Linked DNA regions of Canis lupus familiaris. The protein of the gene in region 2 binds, or shares a complex with, the protein of the main gene of each other region. Links are inferred from orthologs where the notes say so. Each region holds a gene or a part of one and is shown on either strand. Other genes may lie near its edges. The genes, in order: EHD1 and MICALL1.

The links.
Region 1: the proteins of MICALL1 (region 2) and EHD1 are in contact, whole or in part, in an NMR structure (PDB 2KSP), measured with the Homo sapiens proteins. The link is inferred for Canis lupus familiaris from reciprocal best matches to the Homo sapiens genes MICALL1 and EHD1. Residues at the interface, in NP_203744.1 of Homo sapiens: Lys422, Tyr424, Asn425, Pro426, Phe427, Glu428, Glu429; in NP_001269373.1 of Homo sapiens: Gly464, Ala467, Lys468, Met471, Asn478, Leu481, Gly482, Trp485, Lys486, Lys492, Asp493, Gly494.

What each region holds. Positions count from the first base shown.
Region 1 is NC_049239.1:52,795,871-52,800,392, reverse strand, and holds the start of EHD1 (EH domain-containing protein 1), read right to left. Parts: upstream 3,004-4,522; 5' UTR 2,998-3,003; coding exon 2,970-2,997; intron 2,554-2,969; coding exon 2,473-2,553; intron 1,857-2,472; coding exon 1,430-1,856; intron 1-1,429. UniProt on the Homo sapiens protein: ATP- and membrane-binding protein that controls membrane reorganization/tubulation upon ATP hydrolysis. In vitro causes vesiculation of endocytic membranes. Acts in early endocytic membrane fusion and membrane trafficking of recycling endosomes.
Region 2 is NC_049231.1:27,729,510-27,733,309, reverse strand, and holds part of MICALL1 (MICAL-like protein 1), read left to right. Parts: intron 1-880; coding exon 881-1,023; intron 1,024-2,730; coding exon 2,731-3,176; intron 3,177-3,800. UniProt on the Homo sapiens protein: Lipid-binding protein with higher affinity for phosphatidic acid, a lipid enriched in recycling endosome membranes. On endosome membranes, acts as a downstream effector of Rab proteins recruiting cytosolic proteins to regulate membrane tubulation.

The DNA.
Region 1 (4,522 bases), on a different chromosome or scaffold from region 2:
ATGCTTGGAATTCTCAGCCTAGCAGCCAAACCGTGCACAAGATCCTAAGGCGCCCACCAGCTGACAGTCTGGGCCAGTCGCCTATCTATAAGCACAGTAATTCCCAGACACAGGTATTCTCCAGAGGAGGGCTCAAGGCTAAGAGGGCCATGCCTCTCACATGAAGGGCTCTACTCAGCTCCGGCTGTGACACACAAATGCCCTCAGCCATCCAACATGTGGACAGGCTTAAATGCCTCCAAGGGGCAAAAACAAACAAACAAACAAACAAAAAAAAAACACAAGTCTGCCTGTCTTCTCTGCTAAAAGTCAGCTCTTGTGCACAGAGGCAGGCTGGCCCCCGGCTTGGATCAGGAGCAAGCTGGTTCACCCTGTGTAGCTGGACAGTGTCTGGAAAGGAATGTGATCATACAGGGTGGAGACCTGGAAGACAGGAGTCCAGGATTCTTTCCTAGGCTCTTCCCCCCAACACAGACTTTGAAAGGCATGTGGAGTCACTCCTTGAATGGGGGGTGGGGGTGGTGGCAGGAAAAGCAGATCTGTGGAGTCCTTTGGTTGCTGGGGGTAAGGGTGGGGACAAGTTCCTTTCCAGAGGAGTGAACTTGATTGTTGGAAAGAAGAAAGAAGGCCAAAGTGTTTCATTCCCAGCATCAGGAGGGTTAGACTCTGGGAGGAGGACCCAGATCATGAGGCAGACTTCACCCATCTAATTGGGGAAACTGAGGCTCTAGTGAGGGATTCAGGGCCCAGATCTCACTCCAGGGCTCCCAGTGGTACAGCCTGAGGCTGCTTCCTGCAACCCCTAAAGGAGCACAAACCCTTTAGAGCTGACCTCCAAGGAGAAGTGTTCACACTCCCTCTGTCTGCGACCTCATGGGCTGCCCCAAATACAGCAGGCCACAGCAGATCCTCTCTGCCCCTCCCTCCCACACAAAACCAGCGGTCACGGGGGAAGCACAGCACAGCAGCAAAGGGAATAACTAAAAGTTTCACGTATTTTTCCATGACACTTCGGCAGCAGGCACTTGAAGGAGAGAGGGGAAAGGGGTTGGCTTGAATGAATCAGGTGCATCCAGTCTGGGACGACCCTGGGAGGAGGTGGAGACGGGACGCTCTCACCTTCCCGACGCTGACCCCGGTCCTGAGGGAAGCGGGGTTGAGATCCGCTGGAAGGTTTGGGAGTTAAACTGATAACCTGGAAAATTCTGGAGGCGATAAAAGCGGGGGAGGGGCCGGAGACCTCCGGATGCGCTTTTTGTGCGAAGCGGCAGGGGCCCCGGTCCCGGGGAGCGGTCGCTGAGGGGCTCGCTAGGGCCTCGGAGACAAAGGACGAGCGGGAGCCGGGGGCAGGCCGCGGCCGCGGTAGGGTCCGGACCTGGGTGCGGCCCCGGGGTCCCCCTCGGCTCCGCGGGGGGCGAGGGGCGGGTACCTGTTGAGGAAGGCGTTGCCGAAGGCGTTGAGCTTGCGGAAGGGGCGCCGCGGGTCGACGACGAGCGCGTTGCCCGGCACCACACCCTCGGTGGGGCCGTGCATGACCGCGATGAAGGAGTCGGTGGTGGGCTCGGGCCCGATGCGCATTCCCGGGAAGTCCTGCTCGATCAGGTGCCGGATGAAGGTGGTCTTGCCCGTGCTGTACTGGCCCACGAGGAGCACCATGGGCTTGTTATCGAAGTCGGCGTCCTCCAGCGCGGGCGAGTGGAACTCGTGGAAGCGGTAGTGCTCCTCCAGCGGCAGCAGCTTCTGCGCGTACAGCTGCCGCAGCCCCTCGGCCACCGTCTGGAAGAGCTCCGGCTCCTTCTTGCGGCGGGCATCCTTGCTGACCCAGCTGAACATGCTGCCGGGCGCGGGGCTGGCTGCTGCGGGGCAGAGCGGCGCTGAGAGCCGAGCAGGGCGCGGAGCCGAGGCGGGGCCGGGCCGGCCGGCGGAGGCGCGGAGGGGCGGCGGGGGTGGGGGGGCGGGGAGCGGCCCGCACTGCGCAGGCGCCCGGCACGGCCCGCGGAGCGCCCTCTGCGCAGTGGAGCGCGCGCCCCGCCGTGCGGCCTTTATAGGCCCGGCCTCGCGTTCGGGCGCGCGCGGGGCCGCGGGAGGGCGGCGGCGGGAGGAGCCTCCCCCGCGAACCCCGTGCCACGTCCTTCCCTCCCCCGCCTCCCATTGGCCGGCTCCAAGTATCGCGAGCGCCGCTAGCTCCGCGCCCCGCCCCCGGCCCGGGTGCCGTGGCAACCGCACCTGTTTTGGTCCCTCCTGGGCTGGGGCGGCTCGCGGAGGCGCTGCGGCTGGGAAGGCGGGAAGCGGGGCTCCCGCGCGGAGCGGTCCCGCGGCCTACGTGCCTTCCGGAGCCCTCGAGACGGCTCCCCGACTGCGCGCCCCAGCCGCGGTCGCCCCGCGAACGGTCGTCCTTCCCCCGGCGGCCTCGCGCCCCCCCCCCCAACTGCTCGCCCTCACCTGATCCTCCTTCCTGCCCCTCCGCTTTACCTGCTTCGGGAGACGGAGAGATAGGAACGAGGTAGTGGAGAGAGGAGGCCGAGGGGTAGAGCATCCCAGGCCGGGTGGTGACTGGGGAAAGAACAGGGCGGGAGTAGGCGGTCCCTGGGGAAATCTGGCGGCGCAGCAAGGGGCCGGACCCCCGGGGCGGGGGGGTGCGGGGTGCTGGGGTTGGGAGGTGGGCGCGGCAGTGGAAGCCACGTGACAGCTGACACATGGGAAGAAAAGGTGGCTTCTCCGAGGAGGCTGCACCCCACCCTGTGGGAGGGTGGGTAGGGGTACAAAGGAAGTGGAGGCCCTCTGGCCGCTTGAGTTTTGAGGAAGTGAAATCGGAAATTCCCCGTGTGGGGAGGAGGGGGAATGTGGGGCAACAATGAAATCTTGTGGGAACTTAGGGGAAATTAAAAAACCCAAATACTTCTGCTTTCCTCTCAGGGTCACTACTAGTTAACCTTTATGCTGACCTGTGCATCCCCCCTCCCCCTTACCAGGTCCTGGCTGTTCCATTAGGCTCATTCCCCCACCATCATTCCCAGCCACACTTAGACCCCCTTGGCTGTCCAGGCTGGTGAGAATCTTCAGTGGGTGATGTCAGAGCTTTGGGGACTGTGATTGTTATGTAACCAGTATCGGGGACACCAAAGTGTAGGAGGGGGTGGGGAGCCTCGGAGTTAGATCTAAACTGCACTTAAGAACTTGAAGGCCTGGTGTCCAAACCTCTGGCTTCTGGGAAATGTGAGAGCCCCGAGGGCCAGATGCCTATACTTGAAAAGAGAGCAGGCTGGCAGTCTAAGACGATGGAGGCGGGAACCCAAATCTGAGAACAAGTAGAGTTACTTGGGGAGCTGGGTCAAGTGGGAGCCAGAGAGGGCAAAATGGGAGGTTTTGATTGCCACTTCATGTAGGATGAGGCTCAGTTCTTTCTGAAGAAATAAAATGTTAAGTCAGTTGCCTTCCCCTCTTCCCTCTGCCTCCCTGATCATTGGAGAGCCTGGCCAGCTGGCACTCTTGTAAGTCTCCAACTTACTGCTTTTATTTGGGATTTCATTAGCATTCTTTTCATCAATGCCAGTATACCAGAAGCCGCAAGACTTTTCTTGGTGGACTCCTCAAAAGAACATATTGAGACTCCTAGGCAGGGCTGTCACCAGAGGCTGTGTGCCAGCTGATGATCAGGAGCCTTGGGTGGGCCCCAGTCCAGACTTCCTGGGCCAGCCTTAGAAGCCAAAGAACTTGCCTCCTCTGTGACACTTTGAGGGGTCCACCCCGGAGATGCAGTTTCTGCTGTTCCAGGGAAGGGCTTGGGGCTGAGGATCCTGAAAGAGGTGGTTGTTCAATGGCCTGAATGAGGCTTCAGGGAGCTCCCTCGCGGCAGCATTCACATTGACCCGCCATGGTCTTCACATCTCCCCAGAGTCCTCTGTGCTGGGAATAGCCAGCCCAATAAAATTGAAAACAAAATGTTCCTGGGTTATTTATACATGAAACTTCCAGCCACCGTTCCTTCTATATGGCCACTTGACTTTCTCCAAGGAGCGCAAAGGACTGAAAGAAGGGATCTCTCTCTCTCTCGTGAGGCTCAAGGGGACAGAAATTAGTTTTCCCAATTTCACGGAGTTGGCACTCAGGTCCTGGGGAGCTTCCTTATCTAGTAATTCCCAGATTGTAAAAGTGTCCTAATTTTCTTCTTGTTTTTGGAGCAGAGTAGATTGTTTTCAGTGGGAGTTTTGTAAAACATGAATGAAGGATTTCACTTTTGGTTTCTCTGTTTCACTGTCTTTGCCCAGGGCCCTGACAAAAGATTAAGAGTTCAAATGTTTTCCTTTATTGTGGAAATGATAACCATGCCCCACTCCCAGTGTTTCCTCCTTTCAGATTCAGAAACGCACACCTGCGCAACCTGGCCTTGTGCCACTAGGTCTCTGCAGAGATTGCTCTCAGCAGAAAAGGGTCACCTGCTTTCTCTCAAGGCGGTCTGCTCAGTCCCATAATGGCCTGGTTTAGAGAAGGGTCTATGTACAAGGCCCCTAAAAACAACTTT
Region 2 (3,800 bases):
ATGTAGCAAATACTCACCTTGATTCCTGTTGACCCAGAGCTGTTTTCTAGCATGATTCCATTTTGTTCTCTCACCAACCCTGGGAGGTCAGTAGTTTGTGCTGATACACAGATGAGAACATGGAAGCTCAGAGAGGTTTGGTCATTTGTCTGAGGTCAGGCCCCCCCCAGGCTCTGAGATGCTCAGTGGAGTGACACCAGCCCTTCACACCTGGATAGCACTTCATGGTGCGCAGAGGGCTGTTCCCACATGCTCCCCACATGTCCTGGCCAGATGAGCTCCTGAGGGATGGGGAGCCTGGCTCAGTGTGGGTGCCCAGGGAAGTGGGGGCTGAGACAGGCAGGAGGTAGAGGATTCCACTGGTAGGTGAGCCCAAGGCCCAGAAATGTGAGCAGCTTGCTAGGGGTCAGTGTTTGCAAGTGGAGAAACTGGGATTCAAATCTGCTGCAACTTGAGGAGGGGAGGCAGAGGAGGCCAGTGAGGTGGGCTAAGACAATGGTCACCTGCCCCGGGGCCAGCCTGCTGGGATGGGAGTGAGTCAAGGGTAGCCGAGGGGAGGGGGTTATACAGCCAGGAGCCGTCTTCCTGGCAGCAAGGGCCCCAGAAACTGGAAGTCAGGACTTTTGTTTCAATTCTGACTCAGTGACCTTGAGCAAGTCTCCCCGCCACCCCCTGCCGCTCTGGGCTTCAGTTTCCTCATCTACAGAAGGGCTACAGTCTCTCTTCCTCTGCTCCTCTGGGGCTTCGGTGAAGTACATTACCATCGGGAAGCTCGTGTGCACTTGAGGGCAGCGGCTATCTGTGGGGAAGGGGGCTGTTCTAGAACAGGGTGGCTGGCCACTGCAGCCCCACGCCCTTCCGCCCACCTTGTTCTCTGCAGGGCGAGGAGCTGTCCTCGGGCAGCTTGTTGGAACAGGGCACCCAGCGGACCCCCAGCAGCACGTGCGCAGCCTGCCAGCAGCATGTGCACCTGGTCCAGCGTTACTTGGCCGAGGGCAAGCTGTACCACCGGCACTGCTTCCGGTGAGTAGCCAGAGGGGCGGGGGGGGGGGGGGGGCGGGAGGGAGTGGTGGTGAGCCCCTCCAGCACCCCGTTTCCAAGGAAGGGAGCTTCTATGGATTCAGTATCACAGGCACACCTCGGGGCCCTGCATGCAGAGCATCTTGCTTATCCCCATTTTTCCGATGAGCAAACTGAAGCTTAGTAAGGGGAAAAGCCTCGGAGCTCAGGGGTTTGACCTCCCCCTCCAGAGCTCCCTGAGGCTAACTACCTGATGACTATGAAGGGACTGCTATAGAAGTCCTTGAGAAAAAGGAAGGATTTAAAAAAAAATTACAATAACAACTCACTTTCAGTGTGTAGCTCCCAGTGGAAGCTAAGTTTAAAGAAAATGGAATCAGAGCCAAGGAAAAGACAAAAAACTTAGAAAATGTATGAAAACATTTTATATGTTGCAAAAAAAGCAATAAGAAAATAGGGGAAGCCAGAGACTAAGTCCCAACACGCATTCAAATGTGGGTTAGTTGTGTGTCTGTATTTGAGTGTGTGTCTGTGTATATCTGTGGGTGTATGTGTGTCTATGGGTGTGGGTTAGTGTATGTCTGTGTTTCTGTGGGTGTGGGTTAGCATGTGTCTGTGTGTGTGGGGTGTGTCTGTGTCTGTGGGTGTGAGTGTGAGTGTGAGTGTGTGGTGGCCAGGCCTGGAATCCCAGGGGCCTGACTGCAGAACTCAGGTGTCATGAGGGAAAAGTTTCAAGCAGGGGCAACATTATACTAACACATTCACATCTGGCCAGGAGAACAGCATTTTAAAGACTTTTTCCAATGATCCCCCTCCCCCCCACCAGTAAAAAATACATTTGACCCTGCGACCAGTTGTGAATACATGCCTGAATAAAACCCCATGTAAACAGATGTACAACTGGGCCACCTGGGTGGCTCACTGGTTGAGCATCTGCCTTTGGCTCAGGTCATGATCCTGGGGTCCTGGGATAGAGTCTTGCATTGGGCTCCCCACAGCGAGCCTGCTTCTCCCTCTGCCTGTGTCTCTGCCTCTCTCTTTCTCTCTGTCTCTCATAAATAAATAAAAAATCTTAAAAAAAAAAAAAACGAACAAACAGATGCACAACTGGAATTATAGTTTCCTAAAACTATATTCTTGTGTGATACATTCCGATATGTTGTATTTTATTCTGTTTCATAAAAAATATAACCCAAAAGCCTGGCTTGGTTGAAACCTACTCAGTTGATTTCCTGAGCCACTCATGACCTACCTGGGCTGGTACCTCTGTGTGGGGGCAAACCTTTGCTTCCTCTTGCAGCACAAACTTAAGGCATGTTTCACAATTTATGTTGCTTGATTTCATGTGATTTTATTGTTCTGTGCTTTTTTTTTTAAAGATTTTATTTATTCATAGAGACACAGAGACAGAGAGAGAGAGAGAGACACAGGCAGAGACACAGGCAGAGGGAGAAGCGGGCTCCACGCAGGGAGCCCGATGTGGGACTCGATCCCGGGTCTCCAGGATCACGCCCCAGGCTGCAGGTGGCACTAAACCGCTGCGCCACTGGGGCTGCCCTGTTCTGTGCTTCTGACAGTTACTATTTTCCTTCTCTGGGAAGTCTAGGGCACAGGGTCCAGGCTGGTCAATGGGAGGAGAGAGGGGGAGCCGGTGTCCTGGGCTGGGTGCTGGGCTGAGTTGAAGCCCCCACCCCACCTTCTCCCTGACAGGTGTCGGCAGTGCTCTAGCACCCTGCTCCCTGGAGCTTACAGAAGTGGGCCTGAAGAAGGCACCTTCGTGTGTGCGGAGCACTGTGCCAGGCTGGGCCCGGGTGGGCGGTCAGGGACCAGGCCCGGGCCCCCTCTGCAGCCAAAGCAGCAGCAACTTGGAGAAGAAGTCAAGGATGTTGACGGAGGTGGCCCTGGCCGTACTGCACCCGCAGGGGCTGAGGCAGAGGGGTCCCAGGCCAGCCCTGAGGCCCGGCCCCAGATCACCACCAAGCCCCGGCTTCCAAACAAACCACAGGAGCTGGGTGGCTCCCCGGCCGGCCGCCCCACACCTGCCCCAAGGAGGGCCCCTGAGAGCCCAGCCCCGACACCTCCCACGCCCCGGCCCCGGTCCAGTCTGCAGCACGAGAACTTGGCAGAGCAGGGTGGCAGCAGTGGCCTAGTAAATGGTGAGCAAGGGCCCAGTGCAGCTGGGCACTGGCTGGGGTGTGTCTGGTGTTTACATGTGCATGTGCACTGTGAGTATCCGGGGGTTCATGTTCTGTGCCTTGTTTGGTTCCACACGCATGGAGGCCTGAGCTGGGCCCCGGAGACAGATCTGTTCAGACCTATTTGTGCCTTCGAGCTACTCTGTCAGTCTCATGGCAGTGTTGGGGGGGGGCAATGGAGACAAGCACAGACATAGGGGCTTCCACAGAATGTGGAAATCTGTTAAGTCAGGGATAGCAGAGGTTATTGTGGGTTTTGTGGAGGACACTTGGGGGTCAGGGGAGGCTTCAAGGAGTAGTGACACTGGGGCTGAGTTGAGGTAGTGTTTCCATGTTGGGGAAGTGTCCAAGGGACACTTGGGTTCCCCCTTTGGGGCTGAAATGCAGATGGAGTTTCCAGGTTTCCTGGCCTGGCCCCTATGACCATTCTTCACCTGTCACCTTTGGTGCTTATCTCCCGGAGTGCTGGGAGGTGCCAGGTTGTAGGTAGGGTTGCCATGCCCACCTGGAGTCCTGGATCTGCCAGGTAGAAAGGGAGGGCATACTTCCTTAGCTCCTCAGCACCTGGCTCTGCTGCCCAGCCGA